Drosophila melanogaster: one gene and its partners. The protein of the gene in region 2 interacts with the protein of the main gene of each other region in a pairwise test. Each region holds a gene or a part of one and is shown on either strand. Other genes may lie near its edges.

What was found. Proteins that work in one complex are often made in the same cells at the same time.
Region 1: the proteins of Gsc (region 2) and CG13516 interact in a two-hybrid assay, tested with the Drosophila melanogaster proteins (one large-scale study listed by BioGRID).
Region 3: the proteins of Gsc (region 2) and bsh interact in a two-hybrid assay, tested with the Drosophila melanogaster proteins (one large-scale study listed by BioGRID).

Annotation. Positions count from the first base shown.
Region 1 is NT_033778.4:22,665,472-22,672,427, forward strand, and holds CG13516 (uncharacterized protein), read left to right. Parts: upstream 1-3,673; 5' UTR 3,674-4,128; coding exon 4,129-4,384; intron 4,385-4,452; coding exon 4,453-4,582; intron 4,583-4,673; coding exon 4,674-4,794; 3' UTR 4,795-5,151; downstream 5,152-6,956. Other genes in the region: CG42867 (uncharacterized protein), read left to right, coding at 213-313, 376-478; CG30273 (uncharacterized protein), read left to right, coding at 1,711-1,855, 1,912-2,047, 2,119-2,224; CG30269 (uncharacterized protein), read left to right, coding at 2,516-2,844, 3,178-3,283; RYBP (ring and YY1 binding protein), read left to right, coding at 5,636-5,774, 6,159-6,472.
Region 2 is NT_033779.5:589,928-597,695, reverse strand, and holds the start of Gsc (goosecoid), read left to right. Parts: upstream 1-3,010; 5' UTR 3,011-3,315; coding exon of another isoform or gene 3,316-3,489; coding exon 3,490-4,108; intron 4,109-5,062; coding exon 5,063-5,424; intron 5,425-7,768.
Region 3 is NT_033779.5:19,763,971-19,772,804, reverse strand, and holds bsh (brain-specific homeobox), read left to right. Parts: upstream 1-3,737; 5' UTR 3,738-3,875; coding exon 3,876-4,318; intron 4,319-4,790; coding exon 4,791-5,065; intron 5,066-5,454; coding exon 5,455-5,757; intron 5,758-6,176; coding exon 6,177-6,445; 3' UTR 6,446-7,029; downstream 7,030-8,834. UniProt on the Drosophila melanogaster protein: DNA binding protein that function as transcriptional activator. May play a role in the determination and function of cell types in the brain.

The sequences.
Region 1 (6,956 bases), on a different chromosome or scaffold from region 2:
ATTAAATCCATTCGAATACACAGTTTGCAGTTTAAAACTGATAACAGAGTGTATAAGTATATATGTAGTAGTATTTTTAAATTTCTCTGATACGCTCATGTGTATGTTTCGTTGACTTCATGAGAATTCCATGAGTCACCCAATTGCAACATGCAACCGGCAATCAAACTGCATTGCACAAAAGATAGTTGAAGCTTGGAGCTTCCAGTGAAATGTCGACAGATTCGAACTGTCCCAACTGCGATTCACATACCATGGTGAGGAGAAGTCGCCTGGCTATCTCGCGATTCAAGAAGCTTAAGATGGATTTTTGGTACTTTAGTGCACATGAGAAGATATTACTTCAACTTCAACTGAAATGTTTATATTTGCTAGTGCAATATGCTGCGGTCATCGATATTGTGGAGTCGGCATTTATGAATCCTACTACAAATGCAGTTCCTGTGGCTGGAAAGGCGATCCTAACCGATCCCCCTAAGATGGCATACGAATCTCAATCTGAAATAAAATAGGAATGCTGTTGCATTTCTGTTTACCACAGAGTGCAGATGAAATATATATACACGAGCTTTTGAGCTTTGGAAATGCACTTTGAAAAATTCCAAAGCAGCAAGCCTATACATGAACTTTAAGTGTAATATGTTTTAAGCAATAAAATACGTATTTATTTTTCCAGATGTCTGGAGCTCGGCTTGTAAAAAGAATTTAAGATAAAAGTAAGGCCTAGGGGATTTTATTTCCGGCATCTTGAATTGTTCGATATACTAGAAATACTCTTGAGAAAAGCTTGTTGATAACAGTGGGGCCTTATCAGTTCAGCTTGGACTTGTTCCTAGAATTCGGGAGTACAGTTTTGAGGCTTAATAAATAGAAGATTAAATGAACTTAGTTCTGAAAAGATGCCACGCAAAAGCACACCAGCATTCAAAGGACGGTCCGCGGAGGTTTACAAAAGTTTATCCGAACCGAAGGCTACAATTCCGAATTCTGGAGCAAAAGATACGTCCCAAGTATGTCTTAATTCCGAGGACTTCAAGTTGTCGTGGAGCCAAAGATTGTGGTTTAATACGCTGTATGTTATTCTTGAGCTAAGATTGCCTTCGTCCAGATGAAATACAGTTTCAAGTTTGTCTTATTTTAGATCCTTTTGTTGCTGCGGACAACCGATAAATAAAAATGTTAGTGATAATTTGGATGAGTAATGCAAATTCTAAAGACTTCAATAATTTGATTAAATGTATGCACATATGTAGAATATTATTAATAAAATAAATAAGTAAAGTACAATAACTGCTCTTGACTCAGCTAATCATTCTTATCTGTATTGACATTATTGCACAGCACACGACAAAATTGTCAATTGCATATTTATTTAGATATGTAATTGTATTAGCTCATCTAGTTTTAACCTGGATTATCATTAGTTAATTATAATAAAATCTTGGGCGATTGAAGGAAACAAGATTTAAAAGTCCAGTACTTAATACTGCGCTTTCCTCCTTCCTTGAACATGATTTCAATTGACAATCGAATTTACTCTCGCTTTCAACAAATTAAGTTGCTTGACTTGGTTGGCGCTCAAAAGCAATGCAAACAAGATACAAAGCTACGACAAAGAGCTTTTGCCAGCAACAATGTTGCGCAACAGCAGTCGCAAGAGTAGTGAAACGCAAGACTCGGTTTCAGTTCGTGACTACCAACCAAACGAAGATGCAGTACAATCAGCAGCCGGCGGGAGCGCCGGGCTATCCCCACCAGATGCCCCCACCGAGCTATGAGCAGGTGGTGCACGTGCAGGCGCCAGTTCGGGTGGTTCACCACACGACAGCACCTCCGCCCGTGGTGATCATACAACGTGGGTTTTTTTCTCAATGTGACAGACATAAGATTAACATTGACAATGACTTGCAGATCAAGCTGTATTGCCGGTGGGTCCGGATCCCACCTTCATCACCTGCCCGCATTGCCATGTCCAGAAACTGACCCGCGTGGAGTACTCGCCCAGTGTGAAAACTCACTGCATGGCCGCCATTCTATGCATCGTTGGGTAAGATTTGCAGATTCTCACCAGCCCCGTGCTACCATCTTATCTAATCTCTGGTGGAAAATCACAAACAGCCTCTGGTGTTGTGCCTGCCTGCCTTACTGCGCCACCAGCTGCATGAACGCCAATCACTTTTGCGGCAATTGCAATAAGTTCGTCGGCGTCTACAACAGCGATTAGTAATACGGAGTAAACAAAACCAAACGAACCCAACCAAATCGAACCGATCAACGCTCACAACCTCAACACACCCACACACAAAATCATCCACGAATGCGAACATTTTTGGTCAGGTGTCCACAGACCGACAGCTGTACGATGAAATTTCCCCAATGGGGTAAACAATCGGGCCGCCAAGCTTTTGGCTTTACTTGATAAGAATACGCGATACGCGAGACACATTTTTTTTTCCAACGGCGCTCCCTTGAGTCATTTTCCAGCGATTCACACACCCAGTTGGGCCAAAATATCATGGATTCCGTCTATCCAGCTGCACCCTTGGAGGCGCCCAAGGGATCCGTCGAGCTGCAGGCGACACCCGAGCAACAACACCTTCTGCCACCGGCTCCACCCAGTTACGACCAGGCCACAACCACTCCGGCTGAAACCACGGGACCAGCTCCAGTTCCAGCGAGCACATCCACCACACAGCACACGGTCGTCGTGGTGCCCGGTTCACCGTACGGCCCGGAGCCCATGGACGTGCAGTGCCCGTACTGCCACAATTACGCCCGGACACGGGTCTCCTTCAAGCCCAACTCGCGCACCCATCTGATAGCCTTGATATTATGCCTGTTCCAGTGAGTACCCGAAATAGATAACACTGTGTGTGGGCCAGTAGCCCACTTTGGGCACTCGAAACAGAAAAAGCTCAATTTATTCGGAATGAGAATAGCATAGAATAGATAAATTTCATTCCTTACCAGAGAGCACTCTTTTGTATTTATATATGTATTTTTGATTTCATTTCATATCTATGATATATTTTTAGTAGCTTAGCATCAGAAACAAAGGCTATATATTACATCAAATGATAGTCTTAGCCAGCAATAATCGCACAGAATAGACCTTGGCTATTAGGTGTATAATCCACTTGTCGGTGACTCACTTCCTTTTCTTTTACTTCCCTACAGGTTGTACTGCTGTGTGTGTCTGCCGTACTGCATTTCCAGTTGCATGAACACCAATCACTACTGTGGCATGTGCGATCGTTATTTGGGCACCTACGATCGCAAATGAGCAACCAAAAATGTTTCGGGGGCGACCTGTTCATGTGTACATATTTTCTTCAAGTAATTAGTTAATAAATGGACTGCAGCACGCAAACTGAACTAAAGCGAAGTATTTCGTCATTACAAGTGACGCTTTAAGAGCTTTAAAGTGGCATAGAATTACTATTTTGTGTTAGCGAAATTAACCCAGTTTTCAAATAAGTATAATATTATTGATGACCTAAATATTTAATTTTAAATTTGCTCTTAAAAACCAAAGTAAACTGGTTTTTTAACTTCAATTATTAGGCCATTCTTGGTTAAGTTATTCAGTAATTTTTTCGATTTAATTGCTGAAAGCTTTTTTGCTTAATGTTAAATTATACTCTGCTGACTATTACGCCCTTGGAATCCTATATATCAGCTTTATTTGCCAAAAGCCTAACTAATTACTGACTATGCTGAAGTGGCTATCTGTATCTTTATCGGACATCCTATTCCCGTACCTGAGATAAGTTCGATAAACAATGAAGATCATTGTGTGCACTAGATAAAGCTCGGTAAACAGTATTCGAGAGATACTTTCGGTTTTGCAACAGCCCCAAAACTGATTGCTCAACCGGATGGGAGCTTTTCCAAGCTCGCTCCGATCTGAGCCGAAAAAAAACTGAAACTGAATCTCTACCTGGATCCAAATTCGCTGGCAGTTGCGAGCGGCGTTCGAAGTGCAAAAGACGCCGTCTAGTTGTAAATACGCAAAGTAAACAACTTTTTTTTTTCGCTTAGCGAGAACCAGAATCTCTTAGTCATTTTAATAAGTCGAAACCATACCCGAACTTCGCACTAGAGCAAGGGTTTTATAGTGCGTTAACCATGGATCAGAAGCGAGCCATGCTTTATCCGCAAGTGGATTTCAACGCCCCGACGGCCCCCTCGCCGACGCCAACGAGGGAGTTGGGCAATCCCATCGCCAACGGCCTGCCCATCGAGGCTCCTCCGTCGTACGATGTGGCGGTGTCTGTTCCGGTGGCTCCAGCGGTTTCCGCACCAGCAATCGCCCCAGCACGACCACCGCCAGTGGTTGTCGTGGAGCAGCCAGCCCCACAACCACCCACAGTGGTTCCAACAGGTGTGTAGTTTGCACATAGTTATAGTTCGGCTGTGAAGCTCTACTGACGTCACTCCCTGCTGTTGCAGATACTCTACACTTGGGTCCAAATCGAAGTAGGGTTCTCTGCCCAGCCTGTGGAGCCAACAAAACTACGAGGATGACACACACGGCTAACTCCAGGACCCATATGGTGGCAGGTCTCCTCTGTTTGGTCGGGTAAGTTGAGTTTCTTATAAAAAGGAGTAGAGTTTATCTGCTTATTGATTTATCTTAAATTTATATATTTCATGTCTCATCCTCTTTAAAGATTCTGCTGCTGTGCCTGTTTTGTTCCCTATTGCATGAACAGTTGCCGCACTGGAAACCACTATTGTCGCAAGTGTAACACCTTCCTGGGAGCCTACAATCCAAAGGGGATGAACCGATGATAAGACTGCCAAGATAAAACGTGATCTGGGGGCTAGACAGACAGAACAGATACAAGTTATAAGTAAACACAACGCAGCTGATGCTTGCCAGCGGCTAAATTAAGGTTGTATGTACATAGGCCATTGGCTAGAGCGCAAGGCGTCAAAAAGAATCATCATTGGTCATTTAAGCATATGTGAGGTAGCTTAAAAACAATTTAATAAGTTTCCCAAATTCTTCTTTACCCATAAGCACCACTATAGTAAACATAAGCAAAACCGCTTACCTTCCCATTGTTGCTGAAGCAGCTGGCCTTTGGCTGGCTAGAAAAATAAAAGCGTGGGCGTAAGCTTCACAATAAAATGCAAACACAAAACAATGACAAGCCACATTTCAAAATAAACGTAGTTTGGCGCCCAATCGAAAAGTGAGTTGCCAGATCAGCACCATACGCTAGCCAACACTGGCTGCGCGCTACTATCGAAATATCGATAGCCTGGCATTGAGCACTTCTACGATATGGCAATGTTGCCGCAGCCAAAAAGACAATTGCAGAAAGTTTTTTTCACAACAAAAAGCCACCGAAAACGCTCCAATTAAGCAACAAATGCGTGCCAAAAGCGCAGCGAATCTCCACTGAGGCCACCGTGTGTGCGTGAGCGTGGCAAAGGTGCGAGCAGAGCAACCAAACATCACAGGAACACGGCCAGCAGCAGCAGCGGATCAGCAGAGGGGCGGGCAGAGGCAGAGGCGGTGGCAGAGGGAAAAGTCGGGCATTTTCATTGGATTCGTTTTGGTCCGATTCGATTGGATTGCGGTTACTCCAGCGGCGCCCAGGCGTTCCTCCTCTCCTCCTGTATTATGGACAAGAAATCCTCGCCGGTGCGACGACAAAAGCGGCAGGCGAAGGTGATCGAGGAGAACTTCTGGGACTGCAGCGTCTGCACATATAGAAACTCGGCGGAGGCCTTCAAGTGTCGCATGTGCGACGTGCGGAAAGGTAAGTGACCCCGATTTTGCTTCGTTTTCGCTTCCGAGTTCCAAGATTGAGCAGATTGCCAGCCATGTTCCGATTTTCGCTTTCTTGATCATGTGTCATGGATCGGTTTGTTTATCCTTCTACAAGGATACACACACATCGGTATTAACAATATTGGAATATATCTGGTTGAACTGTAGATAGTAATAGTCAAAAAAAGACTGTTGACTGTTGATTAGATGGCCAACGATGGTATCGATTTGCTTACGTAGAATAAATAAATTCACACTGCGCAGAAACCGGGAATACTTCTCGAAACGATAAACATGCTAATTGAAACAATTTTAAACTATTTATATACTATTTTTGGTGCGCTCAATAAGACTATACACCCTTGTTTTTTAGGAACCTCCACGCGAAAGCCACGCCTGAACTCAGCGCTAGTCGCCCAGCAGGCCGCCACTTTGCCAGGAGCCAGTGTCAACATGCCCAACGGGAAGTCCGCCTCCGGATCACGGCATGGCAGTGGGCACGACCGGCAGAGGCACAAGCGGTATCCGGCACGGTTGAAAAACGTGGACCGATCGACGGCACAGACGCGAGAGGTGACGGTCAACTCGGTGACCGTGTTCATCACAGAGTACAAGGCCAAGCCGGTGAGCAGCCGACGCGAATCCAGTGAGCAGAGCTTCAGCGAGAGCAACGACAGCCGGAGTTAGAGGAGGGATACAAGGCCTCCTCGCCCCCAGCTCCCCAATATTCTACGCCACGGTTCCCGCTCCCCTGTTACAAGTTGTAAATTCTAAGTGTTAGGCCCCTGGCGATAACAATTGTAAATCGAAATCCATTTAAGTTACCAAGTATTAGGCCACGTTTAAAGCCCCGAAAGCCAAGCCCCCACTAGTTCATGACTTCCAGCCCAGGCCAAGATGGCAAAGCAAAGCGAAGCGACGGCGAGTCGATTGCATTTACACGACGCTCTCCAAATCCCATTTTAAAATGCGCTAGACCCTGTAAATAGCGATGCATGAGTTCCCTGAATATCTCTGTCTCGTATCGTAATTTTAGTTGTAATTTAATTCTGCTACTCTAATTCCTAATTTATTGATGCAAAGGTAACTATGTATAACCGCCGTGTACATGTTCAACAAAGATATCATTTGTTTTGTAAGTGTCGAATTAAAATATGGTTTAACTAAGTGC
Region 2 (7,768 bases):
GTAAATAAAATTAGGAACATTAAAACTTCGTTGTGAAAACGCCCATAAGTCGTGAGCCACGGAATCGAATGGGATCCGTAGGTAGGGCAGGACATTTGGAATATTCGAGGTTTGATTACCCATAAACTATTTCTCTTTGTGTACCTCTGGGATCCGCTGAAAAACCTTCGACCGGATCAACTGCGCGACGTATAAAACGATATTTGGATTAAACGTTTAATTGACTGCTGAGCAAAACCGGTGTGACCATATAGAGACATATCCAGGGGTTGCTGCTGCTGGCGGGGATTAGAGCCCGATTCCGATGTCGAAGCTTCATTACCATATCAATGTCGGCAGCAGGCGACTCAGCCTCAATCGCAAATCCTCAGCACGGGATTTGGCTGCTGAATCCGAAGAATCTGATTCCGATTCTGGTGCGGATTCTGCTGCTGATTTCGATTTGGCTTCTCGAGGAAATTCGCTTAAATTTTTAACAAGACAAATACGCAAAGCACACGCCCCTCCCCCGTCTATTTTCCATCTCTCCCGGTTTTACCGCTTCTGGGAAACAATCATGGAGAAAGGGAGAGAGAGAAAGAGAGAGAGCAGGGAAAACTTTTCTAATTTTGCACAACTGGAAAATGTGGCCGTGGGCGTTCAAAGAGAAATGGCAACAGAAAATCGAAATAAAAATCATCATCATCGGGAGGGAGCCAAGAAAAAGTTGAAGATGATGATGGTTTTTTCCACATTGTTTTTCCCGCTTTTTCTCCGGCGCTCAAATGGAAAAGTAGAAAAACCTTTTATTCCACAATGTTTGCTTAGTCCTTTGCCAATTGAACTTTTTCGCACAGCCAATCGAAGGGGTAGTGGTACTCAGCCAAATACAATACTTAGACAAGTTAATTTAATTTTTTATTTAAAATTCAATCTGCGAACTAAAACAAAAAGTGCACAGCAAGTGGGGAAAGAATTCAGGTCAGAGGTCAGAGTAGGTAGAAAAGGCAACAAAAAGTTTCATGTGAAAAAACAAGTTGAACAAATTCTGTGAGGAAAATAATAGAAAAAAGTGCGTCACATCTTTTGAGCTTAGCGAGAAGCGCACTCCCAGAGCTTCCTCCTCTTTTTCCATTCTCAACTCAATATTTCCTTTACATTTACAACATCGTCATCATCGGTTTTCCCGTCGGGAGTTGTTGGCCATGTAAGAAGTTCAGTGTAAAGGCAAATAGCGAAGCCCAGAGAAAACTGGGCGGCAGGATCCACTAAGAATCGGAGGGGAAAGAGGACCAGAAATATCCTGGTCCTGCGGTCCTTGGCCTGCTTAATTATTCAATAATTTCTAAAAGCATTTGGCCACATGCGACGTCATCAGCCGTCATCCTTTCATCCTTTTACGGCATGTGACAGGACCGCCCCTCTTCTTCCGTGCGCCCCCGTAATCAGTTGAACACATATACCCCCAACACACACTAAAACATCTGCATTTATGTAAGCCTCCCTCCCTGGACCCCTCCTCTTTGTCCATCTTAGTACACAGAGCGATTTGGGTGCCCTTTAAATACTTTCTTATTATTTAAAGATATTTCGAAACCACCCAATTTAGTAGTCAGTGTTGATTGATAATTTATCAGGAACGCCTCGTCTTCCATGATTCTCCTAGCAGAATTAAGTTTAGTTAGTATGTAAAGATGGACCTTACTTGGGAATTATTTCTCCAAGTGATCCCCATTTTTCACCCCCACATAGGTGACATTGTAAGGACTTTTCGGTTCATTTGCTTTTCCTGGCTGGATTTCCATTTGTGATTGTGGGTGTGGTTTGCAGAGTTGCATTTATCATTAGTCGTAGCTTAGCTTTTGTTTTCCTGCATTCGAGTGGACGAGGAGGGGGGGCATATCTAGGGAACGAACCCTGGCGGCCATTGGGGATTTTGCACTTGGGCATGTTTGATGTGGAAACTTTAGATTAAAATATTTTCCTATGCACACACACGAGGTGAAACAATAGCGACGAGGGTCACCAAAGTGCCGTAGATTATTGAATGAGCGCTCCCAGTCTCCCTCCAGTGTAAGCTTCATCTTTATGTACGAGTAGTAGCGTGCTTCTTTCTACATAAAACGTTCACCCCTTAACCCTTTTCAAGCTCCCAACGTCTGCAAGAATGATGATAAAGATAAAGCTCAGAAAGGGAGAAAGAGCAAGAGCAGCGCTTCTCCGTGGGCGGATTGAGCGCATAATGATGTTTATGTGTTGCCAGAAACATAAAAGCATTAATTTAGTCATTATCTTCTTAAGATACGGCGCCAGCAGAGGCAGTGGAGTATCAGAATCCCCTGAACGCGAGAAGAGAGCGTCAGGCTTTTTGCCACCCATAATTTCCATCAGCATTTTTATGCTACCCCTGCTACTCACTCTGAGTGAAAGCGAGAGAGCTTCTGTTGCCATATCCTGCGCACCCGCTTCCCTTCTCTATCGCTCCCTCGACAGCTATCTCTTTCTGTGGGGGCCGCGGGGTCTGTCAGTGATGACTTTATCTGTATAAATAACTGTCAGTGGCCAAAGAAAGTAAGTAGAGAGCGCAAAAATACAAAAAAATACATGGAAGCATTGGTGTGAATTGGGTGGAAAAGGAGGGGTCTGGTGAATGGGGCATTATCTCTGTAGCGCCATCTTTATCCTGGACCTCCTGCCAGCCTTTAACCTGGAACACTGCAAGATGGGGGCCCGACACCATCAACCACCACCAGCTAGAGCGAGAGAAAGAGATACAGAGGGAAAGCAAAAAAGGGAGGGAGGATACAGAGAGAGGGAGAGGCGTCCAAAGCCAGAGAGTATTGCCAAGCAATATGGTAGCGTTGAGGGCGTGGCTTCACCCCGATTTCATTGGCCAACGTCGAAAAATGTCCGCTAAACGAGAGAGCAGATGTGAGTTTGTATCTGGCATCTGAGAGTCTGTATCTATATCTGTCGAGGAACTGGCCTAACGACTACTCAATCGACAACTTGTCGGGCGGAACGCTCTCACAACACTTTCGCAGCTCGAGCGGACAAGAAGGGTTCCCGGTGGCAGAAAACCTGTGGAAATAATAAAATATAAAATCACGACGCGATTGCAGTGCGTGTTTCTAGTGCGGTTTAGTGAACTTGGCATCGATCAAAACACACTAATCCAGTGAAAAAAACCTAGACTTAATATTCGCAACATTGCCACCATTACTGAATTAAAAAAAATTGTAAAGCGCTTAGTGCTTCAAAAGTGCCGCTTCATTAAAAAAAAATCAGTGGGGAAGAGACTTTTTCCTACTCGAAAGCTTCATAGACTTCTTCAAGATTCTCTCCTCACTGTGGACCCCTGGAGGAGGCGGTGGAGGCACCACCACCACCACTCCCAGCACCACGCCCGACATTCCGCCCTCGAAGGCCAAGTTCAAGATCACCGTCGTGAGCACGCCCAGCCCCTCCCCGCCGCCTACGCCCCCTCCGGCTGGATCTATGCTGGCACAAATGGTAGAGACAAATTCCCCGCCGGCGGGTTACACCCTCAAAAGGTCGCCCAGCGATCTCGGCGAGCAGCAGCAGCCTCCAAGGCAGATCTCGCGATCTCCTGGCAACACGGCCGCCTATCACCTGACCACCGCCATGCTCCTGAACTCGCAGCAATGCGGCTACTTGGGCCAGCGATTGCAGTCGGTCCTCCAGCAGCAGCACGCCCAACACCAGCAGTCCCAAAGTCAAACTCCGTCCTCCGATGATGGCAGCCAGTCAGGTGTCACCATTCTGGAAGAGGAGAGAAGAGGAGGAGCCGCCGCCGCGTCTCTCTTCACTATCGACAGCATTTTGGGCTCTCGCCAACAGGGTGGAGGCACCGCTCCAAGCCAAGGCAGCCACATCAGCAGCAATGGCAACCAAAATGGACTCACCTCGAATGGCATCAGTTTGGGTCTGAAAAGAAGTGGCGCCGAGTCCCCAGCCTCGCCAAATTCAAACTCCAGTTCTAGCGCAGCCGCCAGTCCCATCCGACCGCAGAGGGTTCCTGCCATGCTGCAGCATCCTGGCCTGCATCTGGGTCACTTGGCGGCTGCAGCGGCGAGCGGTTTTGCCGCCTCTCCCTCGGATTTTTTGGGTAAGTCTATCAATCCCCCTATACTGAACGCACAAGCCCCCTCAGCTGAATTTCATTATGAAGACAACTTAAGACGAAACCAGTTCAAAGGATGGTTCTTTAGATAAAGAAATTTTAACATTTTGAAATACCTTATTTCATGCATCTAAACTCTGAAATCACCTTAAGGCAGCTCACTCATGCAGTCAGGAATCACCCATTCAGCCACTCACCCACTTTTATCCTGACATCCTCATCCTCTCCCACTCAACCGAACCACACCCATTCCGAAGCGAGTCCTGAATGGCATTATTCATAATTAGGCAATGATCCGTGAAAGATGATTCCGCATTTCCTCTCCATTTTCCTTCGATTTTGCGGTGAGAGGATTTGCATTGGGCTCTAAGTCTTAGCTTGGGCCGGAAAAACCAGGGAAATCCGGGATGCTGGGGTGGCTTTAAGATGGGCTCAGGCCTTGTGTTGATTCGAGCGTGGATCTCAGGCGCAGATTTATGCAGAATACCGCTTAAATTCATTCAAAGGCTCCCCCGCAGGACATGAATATTAAAAACCTGGTCGCAACTTTTTTCCCCAGCTTGCTGCAACCGGAAACGGAAGCCACACATACGTTTACAGATGGGGTCAAAGGAATAGATCCGTTTTTGCAATATGTTATCCATATATCATTGTAATATTCTTCGTAACGATATTTACATGTTTTCCAAGTACAACATATGCTGAAGAGGGTAAATAGTTTTACATTTTACTTGAACTGATACCATTTTTGTGTCTACTGTAAGCCAAAATGGCGGCAGTTTTATTTTGCGCGGTTCGTTATGCGCATTTTTAAGGATTTACCCAGGAATATTCCACTTACACCCATTCCCGTGGCCCTCTTTTCTCCAGTTATATGATGATGATATGACTGTTATTCCAACCAGGGAATAATGAATTTTCCTTTTGTTTTCCCTACAGTGGCGTACCCCAACTTCTATCCAAACTACATGCACGCTGCTGCGGTGGCGCATGTGGCCGCTGCTCAGATGCAGGCACATGTGAGTGGAGCAGCCGCTGGATTGTCGGGTCACGGGCACCATCCGCACCACCCCCATGGGCACCCCCACCATCCACATCTGGGCGCACACCACCACGGACAGCACCACCTCAGCCATCTGGGTCATGGACCTCCGCCGAAGAGGAAGCGTCGCCATCGCACCATCTTCACGGAGGAGCAGTTGGAGCAACTGGAGGCCACCTTCGACAAAACACACTACCCAGATGTGGTGCTCCGGGAGCAACTTGCCCTCAAGGTGGATCTCAAAGAAGAACGAGTTGAGGTGAGTTTAAAGCTTCTAATTTTTAATGCCGAAGAAGGTGTAAAAAAGGGGGCAAGACTAAGTTTAAAGCATAACTTTATAGACATTTAAAGTAATTTTTTTAAGGCCGCTTTGTCACCACAAAAAAACAATCAATGCCTGGCTTTAGCTTTTGATCACTGTGTTCTTCCTAGCAGCCGCCCACACTCTGTGTTTAACATTTGGCTCTAATTTCACGCTCGTTTTAATTCCCCGCGTGAAACCAATTGAGTGCTACACCCCCGCTCCTCTACACTCCACTTAACCAGAATCAGATTCCGAATCCGAATCTCTGGCATCTGCATCGCAATCTCTATTCTCTCCAGCGAGATTCTCCCTCTGAGAACTTCTACTTGTTTATTTAGTTGTCAGCGGCGTACATTTTGAGGGGCTTCTTCGCCGGCGAAAGCAAAACAATGCCAATCCCAATGATTCACTTAATTTGGGTAATGGGACTCGGGATACAACCGCATGTTTAAACGGATGGTGAGGGTTATTTGCTCGTCGGTGGTTGCCACTGCTGAATCGTATCATTGGTAATGTAAATATGCAGGGATTCCGCCTTCTGCGCCCTTGTAAATCCCACCCCGGGGGATGAACCATCCCTTTAACATCGGCAATTGTGATTCAAAGTCCATTAGTGTCGAGGAAACCCAACAACAAACAAACAAATTGAGAGGTCACCAAGGAAGAAAGTGACGACAAAAGTTGACAATTTAATTTGTTCACATTTTTGGTGCATTGATGGGTGGCTATTTCGCGTCTTTGATGAGGATTATCCACGCTTTCCGGGCTACGGGCCCCGGGTTCCGGGCCCCCTTAGTTTTCGTTTCCCTGGCAATATGTTTGTCAACCGGTCAAATGTTTAATCTAACCCATCCAACCCCATCTCACCCTCACCTTTCGCAGCGCAGGAAGGCGGACAAGTGCGACATTTGTTGACACTCGAAGGGTTTGGGCTTATGTTTAGCCGTGAGCCTAAGACAACTTACACATTAACATTACTAACCATTTAGGATAATGAGAGGCGTGGCGTTACTCAACCCGCAGGCGAATTGACGCCCGCTTTTTGATTAGGCGACAAATTTAACCCGCGGCGAGCATTGGAATCCAAAGCGGATTAGAATGCAGGTTGTAAGTTGTAAGTTGCGAGGTTGTTAGGCGGGAGGAGTTCTACAATAGGATAAGCAAATGAAAAGCCGAGGTGGGGAAGATTTTCCAGCTCTTCAACTAATTGGAATTCAGCGGACTCGAATCTGCTGGCTCACGGGGGCGACTAATTAACATACAACACACAAAAAGAGACTTCAAACTTGTCTCTGACAAGCAAAGTGGATGAGGAAAGAGACGGCAGCAATCGCAATCCCAATCCCCAAGCAAATCTTGTGCTCAGTCATCGCTCGTCATTGACTTAAGCAGCATAATCAACTTCAGGTCTGGCTTCCAACTCGGAACCCCGGCTTTTGTGACTGCTACTGTTTAGCATATTTGCATGCCAAGAGTTGCCACTCGAGGCCTCCGAGCCCCCCGATTTCGGGACCGTCTCTCTAAGACCCCAGCCGCTCCATAAGTGGCAATAATTATTGAAAATCTTGCCTAAGACAAACAGCAGCAATAACAAAAGAGAAAACAAATGAAAAAAGCGAACAAATTCGAAGCCTACACATCCGATGCTCTAACGGAAAAGAGTCCGTTCGGTCGATGATCAATTGGGTACCAAAGGCTACCCATTTACACACCAAAAGCCAAACATGGCAACTAAGTTACGTCTATTAGTTAGGCTTGGATATAGTCTAGATATAGCTAAGTGCATACCAAAAGTACCAGAAAACAAACACCAGAGCTCCGGACCAACGTCTCGTAACTATTCAGTTCCCATCCTGGGATCGTTCGGCATTTAAATGATCTGCTTATTTTGACTTCATAATTTACAATTATTATTTTTATTTAGCCACTCGAGGCGAGGGTCGGCCGGCTTGGGATCGAGCCGGATTGGATCGGATTGGTTTGTATGGGATTGGAACGCCAAACAGTAGCTCTACCTGTAGAGCAAACAAGCCCGTTCTCTTTGTCCGCCTGCCTCTCTTTTTTCGCCTTGGCTTCTGTGGTGCGTGCAAGTCAAATACGCCTAATCCCGCAGCTCAAGTGATCGAGGTGATTTCGTTCTCCGATCAGCCAGATATGGAGGGATATATGTAGCTTGGGATGTAGAGGAGGAATGGCTGGGCTGGAGGGCATTTCAAATATTTGTCTTCGGTCGTCGCCAAGAAATTAGTAATCATCAGCTTGGCATAATTTGTGCTCCTCTCTCCTTTCGATCGCTCAA
Region 3 (8,834 bases), about 19 Mb from region 2:
GTAACCTTTTCGTCCTGTCCCTCGTCCTCGAATTAGACCGCCCTGACAATTAGAGCACTAACAAATGCAATTATCCTGCCACCTCCCTCTACTGGGGCACCACCACCACCACTCCTTCACCCCTTGCGGCACACAATCGCTCTCATTGGCAACAATTGTGGATGAACCCGTCGTCGTTCGGAGTCACAAGTCCTCCAGGTCCTTTCCCAGCCAACAAACAACGAGAATTCAGCGAGAAGAAAAAATGAAATGAAAATACGTGCGGAGTAGAAAGAGTCGAGCTAGGAAGGCAAAAGTTTCCCAAACGCGTGCCACATATTAAATTACATCGAAATATGTGCACACGATGATTTGTCGAGGGGCAGGCAGCTTGTAATTTGCTGGCATTTTCCGATTTTATCAGCCGGCGGGGGCAGCATCGCTGTTATTTTGATACAGTTGTTGGGCTCTACGGCCATGTAGTGTGCTATTTAATTGAATTTATCCCGCGCAATTATCGTGAAATCTACTGAACAGCCAGGACCTACAACTCGCTCGATTGTTCGGCCACTGAATTCCCGGATATGGCGTTTTTGGTGGGCGTAACTCAACAATTTCCGAGCATATTTCCTATTTAAATGCAACCGAATAGCCATTTGATTGCGAGTTACGTGAGGATTTTTCAAGAGTGGGACCAACTGGGTAATCTTCAATAGCGGCTTAAAAACAGAACTATATTTATTTATTGGCAATAGATCTTCAGACTTTCTTGTATTGGTGAAAATACTCGTATACTGTCAGTAGGAAATGAAAAAAAAGTAACAATGAAACTGCATAATCCCTGATATTGAAATTGGCGACAATTTAGTAACATTTATGATGCATCATGTCAATACTTACAATACTTACAAGGGCAGAGTTTGCATAATTATTTAAAAAAAATTATGTTATAATGACATACATTCTTACCATAGATTAAGACCAAGCGTTTTCTTTGAACATCTTTTTTTTCTATTAATAGCTTTGAACGATTCAGGTGATATCGAGCTATAATTGCAGTTTAATGCTACAATTTTTTAAATCATCGCATTGCCTTTTGATCAGATTGATTAAACTAGATAAGTCTTGGCAGACTTTCAATTTGTAGCTTTAAGTCATTACGTAAAGGAAGTCTGCATCAATTTGTAAAAATAAGCAACTTTAATTTTAGCTTGAGCTGAATTGAATTCGTTATTCAATTATCCTTAAACAGGAACTACAAGTACGATTTTTTCATCCTTGAAGGATTAGCAAAAAACAAAAATCCAATACAACAAAGGTTGCGTAAGGATGTAGCCACTTGAGCGCTGCTCCCAAAAACAAAGGACCCGCAAGGATGTTCAAGTTTGTGTTGCTTGTATCAGAAGTTAATTTACCGAGAATCAAACTTAAATGCGGAAAGAGGATCTGAGGCAATGTGCCGCCAATATTCACCCCTGTTGCGAGGTCGAGCGCGACCTATGGCTTATGTAACCTGATCGGTGACACACTTCAGCTTTGATTCCAGGGAATTATGCTAACACAAAAAAGGAGGCAAGGAGACGTTCATGTAGACAGCGCAGAAGGATTTGCCAGACAAACTGACACAAAATGTTGTAATTGCCCCAAGGAAAAGCACCCTCCTTCAGCTTAAACCGCAAAGTGGCTGGCAATTCGATGCCCCAGACGTAGTAGCATTTTTATTATTATAAAAATTAGGCTCAGTCCGTCGGACGGGGCACGTGCAACAATGGGAAATTAGGCAGACTAAATGATGGCTCAAAAATATGATCTGCCCTCATAGTTGGCCATGGGAATCTCTGCTCGCAAATCCGCTGATTTCCACCTAGCGAGAAAAATCAATAAAAAACGCAAGGTAGACACGCCACCGAGCAGACTCAAAAAGAACTGAACAAAATATATGTCCTCACAAAGGCCCTTTGGCACGTTCATGTCAGCGGGTTAACAATGGATGACACCGAAGAGTAGTCCATGGAGGAGGAGGTGGATGTGGAGGCGGAGCAGCCAGTTAAGAGCTTTCGGCCAGGTGAGAGAAGTGCTCATCTCTGGCTGGGATACCTTTTTCCAGCTTTCCACTTCTATGGAGCTCTAAACTATATGTAACTATAGTCTCGAGATATTTTATTCTATTAATATTCTTTCTCTAAGATAAATATCAGTTTTTATTTCTCATATATGTAATAATAAATATATTTATAATAAATAATAAATAATAATAATAAATATATTTATTATTAAGGTATACAACCCTTAAATTAAAATTTAATTTAGATGGGATTTCATAAAATAGATTTATAGAAAATGAAAAGAATATTATAAAATAGATATTAAAAGAAAAACGTTGTCTTTTTAGGAACTATGAATCTTATATCTTTTTAATTTAATAATTTTAAAATTGGTAGAGCACTTCTGAAATTAGGTTATCACTTTTAAGTACTATTATTCTAATATCTTTTAAATACAATTAAATATTTTTATTCGTTAACACAAACCCCATAACCCCCCAATGTCCTTAGAGAAGCTGAGATATTTTTGCCCAGGAACAGGGCAGCACATCCCCAAGCAGACCCAACCATCACCGCGATCACTCGAATGCCATCCTAATGCGCCCATTTTAGGGCTTTAACCTAATAATGACGTTCGACTTAGTTTGCGTGACTTATTTTATTAATAAAACGAGCAAATTTGTCTTGCTTTTTGGTCGCATCGTCGTCATATGCTTTTTCTCTCTCGGCGATGTCTCGTTATTGTCCTTCCTTCCTGCTCTGTTTGTGGAGACCCCCCCCCCCCATATTTCCCTCTCTCTGAAGGAATTAAGGACTTTCCGCTGTGAGGAAAGACTGATTCTCAAAGCAACAGGACGAAACAGGACGAGTATAGTTGCGAAAGCAACCCCTCGGCGAGCTCTTCGCCGATTGGTGGCTTGCTGGAAAGGAGGCACGCCCCCTTTTTCGATGGTGTCACTTGGTTGGGTGCGGAGGGGGCCGGGTGTCCTTGGTGGGTGGTGTACGGCTATGTGGGGCTCTGATTCAATTAACCGCGCGGGGAAAAAATATCTGAATGCAAAGCAGGCGAATGCTTGGCCCCAACCCAGCGGGTACAGTTGCGCTGGCTCCACCTAGCAATTATCCTGTCACAGCAGCAGAATCGATTGTTTAATTCAATTATAATAATTGTGGCATTTAATGCACGCACATCATCAGCCAGACAGCCAACAATGGCGGCCGTGACACGTTAATTATGACAAGTGGGTGCCAAATGGGCGGCTGGGGACGTGGCAGGATGTGCCTGCCTCGCAAAATGGCGGCAGAGCAAGGACGCATAGTTGTGCAACTTATTTGCGGCTAACGGGGGTCAATTAAACTAAGGTTTTTCCGCACTAATCGCATGTCCAGTGGATGCCAGCAGAGAGATGGGTGCTCAAAATCCTGCCAGAGCAGGACAACCCTATGCGCATGCAAATCGAGGGGTGTGTTCATGTGCCCGCTTACGGGGATTCCCCGAATATTGCCGCTCTAAGCGGGCACCGCAAAGCGGGCCAACTGCAGCCGGATTGAGGAGGGGGTGGCACTGCCTGCGCTCGCATTTTTTCCCCCCCTTCGATTTTCCCCTTTTCGCAGGATGCAGGACCATATCGCCGGCTCGCTCGCACATGTCTGCTGGCAGCTCGTTTAGAGCAATTTGCTGGTTGATGTGCGGTGATTGCCGCAAACTCAACGCGACCGTCAACGAGCAAACAACATAAGCGCGCGCGCGGTCCAAGGACACGTATATATCCCGGCTGGCTGGCACATCTCCTGGCTCCGGTCTCCATCACTGCTCCTCGTGCTCCTCCTGCTCGGCCATCCTCCAGCGCAATGGCAATGCTTAATGAGGCCAGCTTGAGTCCTGCGGACGCACATGCTCATGCCAACGCCACCACGCCCACGCACAGCAAGGCGGCGGCGATGGCCAGTGCCACCACAATGCTGACCACAAAAACGCCGTTTTCCATCGAGCACATATTGTTTCAAAACTTAAATAGTGCCAGCAATAACAATAATAGTAGTGATACCAACGGCATCGCCGCAAACACCAACAACTACGCGCCAAAGAGCAGCAGAAACGCGGTGAAAAGTGCCAGAAGCGCATTTGCCCACGACAATAATCCGCACAAACATCCGTCGCAACATTCGCATCCGCCGCAGTCACATCCGCCGGCGTCCGCATCCGCATCCGCGACGGCTACTGCCCGCAGCAACCAGGCTGCGTCGGGTTACGCTGGCGAGGATTACGGCAAGTCCATGCACAGCACTCCACGGTTGGTTTCCGAATTCCAAGGCCTAATACTACTGCAGTGAAATTTTAGTTTAAAAAACTTTAATTTTAAGCCAATATAATTGCATAGAAAAGTGAAAAAAAGTAATTAAAATAAAAAAAAAATAAATAAAAAATAAGATAATATTAACAAAGTGAATTTATAAAAGAATAAGAAGTAAACATGAAACATCAAATACGATAGATAGTCACACCTTCTTGAAGACAAATATTTTGGAATAGCATACACCTTTAAAATCTTACTTTGGATTATGTTCTTTTAAATTATAGAATATTTTTTGTAAGAAAAATGATATTTTGGAAACATAGAAATCAGGCTTACCATAAAGCTTAATGTATCTGGGAATATATATTTGTATTTAAGCATATTAGCATAAAAATCACTATTGGACATAAAGAGAATAGTTTAACATCGAAATACCAATAGACCCCTAATTGAACCACTTGCTTCGTAGGTCCAACCACCACTCGCGACACGGAACTTCCCACTACAACGGAGATCAGATTTCGCAGCAGTTGGGATCTGGAGCAGCACAACATCCGCCGGTGCCCACGACTCAACCTCAACCTCCGCCTCCGCCGCCCCTGAATGGAGGTAGTGGTGCATCCAATGGAGTACTCTATCCGAATGCACCCTACACCGATCACGGATTTCTTCAAATGACCCTCGGATATCTCTCGCCGTCGTCGGGCACCTACAAGTCCGTGGATCCCTATTTTCTATCACAAGGTGAGTTAATGCTCGATATTACAGAGATATCCTCCTAGATGATTCTGATTTGTACTGGTACATACAAACATGTTGGTAATAAGTTAAAGTCGAACTCATAGAAATTAAAAGTCAATTCTAGCTAGAGTTTAGCTAATCGAAAATGAAGTTGGACATATTCTCATTAAAAAGCCAGCACAACATTTAATTTCACATTTAGAACTTTTTCAAAATGAAACCCAAATTAGTAGGACAACTGATGTTGAAGTGCAGTTTTTTGTTGCCACATAGCTTCATTTAGGGGCACTAAAACTCGAAATATTCGGTGTAAATGGCCATCAACACCGAAAGTTTTCATTTGTTCCAACTATAACGAAGTTAACCAAATTTTGCATCCTTTGCCCTTTCAGCCAGCCTGTTCGGGGGAGCGCCCTTCTTCGGAGCGCCTGGCTGTGTGCCGGAACTGGCCCTCGGACTGGGAATGGGCGTGAATGCCCTGCGCCACTGCCGCCGGAGGAAGGCTCGCACGGTGTTCAGTGATCCGCAGCTGTCCGGTCTGGAAAAGCGGTTCGAGGGACAGCGATACCTGTCCACGCCGGAGCGTGTGGAGCTGGCCACCGCCTTGGGACTCAGCGAGACGCAGGTGAAGACCTGGTTCCAGAACCGCCGCATGAAGCACAAAAAGCAGCTGCGCCGGCGCGACAATGCCAATGGTGAGTATATTGATTTCATAATCACAAATTTATTATGAGCAAATTAAATATTACGAAATTTATAATACTCAAATCAAGTTATTTAATATTCAAACCTTTTCTGGGCTGTTAAGAACAACTAGAGCGAAAAAGAGTTGCTCAAGTTTTCCAGCTTTTAGACAATGCAATATTTGAGTTAGCAATTAAATTGTCAAAAGGCATTTCGAGCAGGAGTGGTCAGCGGTTTTCAAATTGGTCACAAAGCACCAAAAACTAGACCACTGGAGTGAGTAGTTTCTTTGAGGAACTTTTGGACTATCAATTAGACCTTTTGGCTTTTAGCCGGCTCCTTGTGATGCAAAAAGTTTTGCTCAAGTTTCAACGCAAATCAAATTAGTTCTAAATTTTGTGGAAATTTCTTTGACTCTTCCATGCCGCAGAGCCCGTCGACTTCTCACGCAGCGAACCGGGCAAGCAGCCGGGCGAGGCCACCTCCTCATCCGGGGACTCCAAGCACGGCAAACTGAATCCCGGATCTGTCGGCGGCACACCCACTCAGCCGACGAGCGAGCAGCAGCTGCAGATGTGCCTGATGCAGCAGGGTTACTCCACGGATGACTACTCCGATCTGGAGGCGGACAGTGGCGACGAGGACAACTCCAGCGACGTGGACATCGTCGGCGATGCGAAACTCTACCAGTTAACATAGACAGTTCGATCGGGATGTGGACCTGGATCCTAAAGTAGTAAAGTTTTCGGTGTTTCAGTTGGGGGAAATACAACTAAAAGAGATTTTCAAATCAAAAAATATCAGTTTCTTTTACTAAATGACTTTTCTATTAGACAAGCACAGAAGTTACAAAACAACACATATATTATCAGCGCGAGCATGGTTATACCATTTTGAAAATATCTATTATTACGATTTAGTACGAACTATAGTTCCTTATAATTGTGGAAACTTACCCATCAGTTTCACCATTGAATTAATTGATTGATTATAACAGATACCATCCAGCTACTCTAGCTGTTTTGATCTTGTCCAAAAGAAACATATTTATTTTGCTATAATTATAGTTGTATTTCCCCCCAGATACATATTTGAATTGAATCGAAAAGCCGTGTAAATACCAACGAGTTCTTGAACGAGTTTTCTAGTCATGTATTAAGTCTAATAACTAATCAAATTTAGTGATTGTATTCGAGAACTTCCATTTTAAGATACATTAGTTCCCTGCGACTTCTTATCCAGAACATAGTGCTTACAATAAACGGAACGGAGCGAATTACGCGAATGCTGGAGAAGTGTTACTGGGTGGGTGGGTGGTGTAGCTTGATGCCCGCCCCCTCGCCGGGCAATCAAATCCAATTGACAACACAAAGTAGCAACTAATATGGTTAAGCAGCGGGAATACTGATGTATGGGGTTGGCGACTGCCACGCCCTGCGCATGTCCTGCCGCCCAAGTGGGCGGGCGGAAGCGGGTGGGATTGGATTGAATCGGGGTGGATGGAAATGCACTTAACAATGGCAAAATAATTGCGGGTTTTCAGACAGCCATTTTAGTGAGACACCCATTGTCAAGTGCGGAATAGAGTGAGGAGGTAAAAGTTAAATGTTTCAAATTGATTGGTAATTACGGGTTAGCAGGAATGCTCTCGAAAAAATATTAATAGTTTACCCGATTAAGAATGAGTCTTGGAGGGAATGGAGTTCCATATGCTTATATACATGTAGATACCTTTGCAGTCATCAAAACTCATGGATCTATTTGTTGAGAGAAGTTATCATTTTTAGTTTCATACTTTGGACTGTTAAGACTTTTCTTGACGTCAACGAAGCATATTCCAATTCTATTCTGGCGATTAAATGGCATATGTACATATGCTTGTTAATAATATGTATTTTTTTATATAAATTTCGAGTGTGTATTGAGTTATGCTCAACTTGGTAAACATGCGAATTAATAATATTCGGAATAATATACAACCTAAGGTCGAAGCAATGACAAGTCGCAGTCGCTTTAGCCACTTGTATTTTCCCAGTGAATACAGAAACTAATAAGTAGTACTCTTGGGCTTATCTTGCTATTGATAAGCTCAATGTGAAATAAACTGCTAGAGACGAGCCTCCCTCGATTTTAAGAGGTTGGCAATAAAAATCACAATAAATGTTTTGATTTTAGACTCTTAGTTAGTATAACTCGTATTCTCATGGACCATTTCACATCATACTTATTGTTTAAAATGTTCTCACAGTGAAGCATTTAACGATGGCATTTTCATCGGTAAGCCTGACCACTCTCCTCCGCTCTTCATATGTGGCTCCCTCTTAGTTTTGGAGCCATATGTCTGCAGCTTATGCTCCCCATCTGGACTTGGACTCTCTTCCACTCCGCTCTCTCTTCTATATACATTTTCCGTGTGTATGCTATTTACGTGCTATCAGTTGCCGTTGAAAACAAAACAAAATGTAGGAGAAGGGATGAGAAAGCCGACCATTCTATTCACTAACTTTTATTGCCGATAACTTAAATAATAGTTCAGTTAGATCATACGAATGATAAACAAATGGAAATACTGAATTTTTATAAAACATTAAAAGAATCTTCTTATATTATATATCAAGTATATTCTTCTATAATACTTTATGATTTCTTCAACTTTAATTAATAATCTATAATAGCTTAGTTATACTCTTATTAGGAATATACATCCCTAATTTTATTTATAAATGTTTAGGTAACAGTGAATATATGTACAGTACCATATACGATCCTCATTAGGATCATCAGATATTATTATTCCTTATTTCCCATTGTTATGCTCCAAGCAACTGAACCAAGTGCATATACCCTCTGATAGGGCGTGGCCGGCAGTGACGTTTCGCTGGCTTTTCTCCACCGTCGTCGTGGACGTGGACTAAAGCCAAAATTAGTCTCTTTAGATCAGCCGTCGACCGCGGTTCGTTGTTTGTTTGCCAGAGTTTGTCGATTTGTTGTAAGTGAAAGTGCATCTCTTGGGTTCTCGGGGAAGCTCCACAAATGTTTGAGGTCAATGGCGGCGTTAAGGACACGTCTGAAAGTCATTTAGATCTCC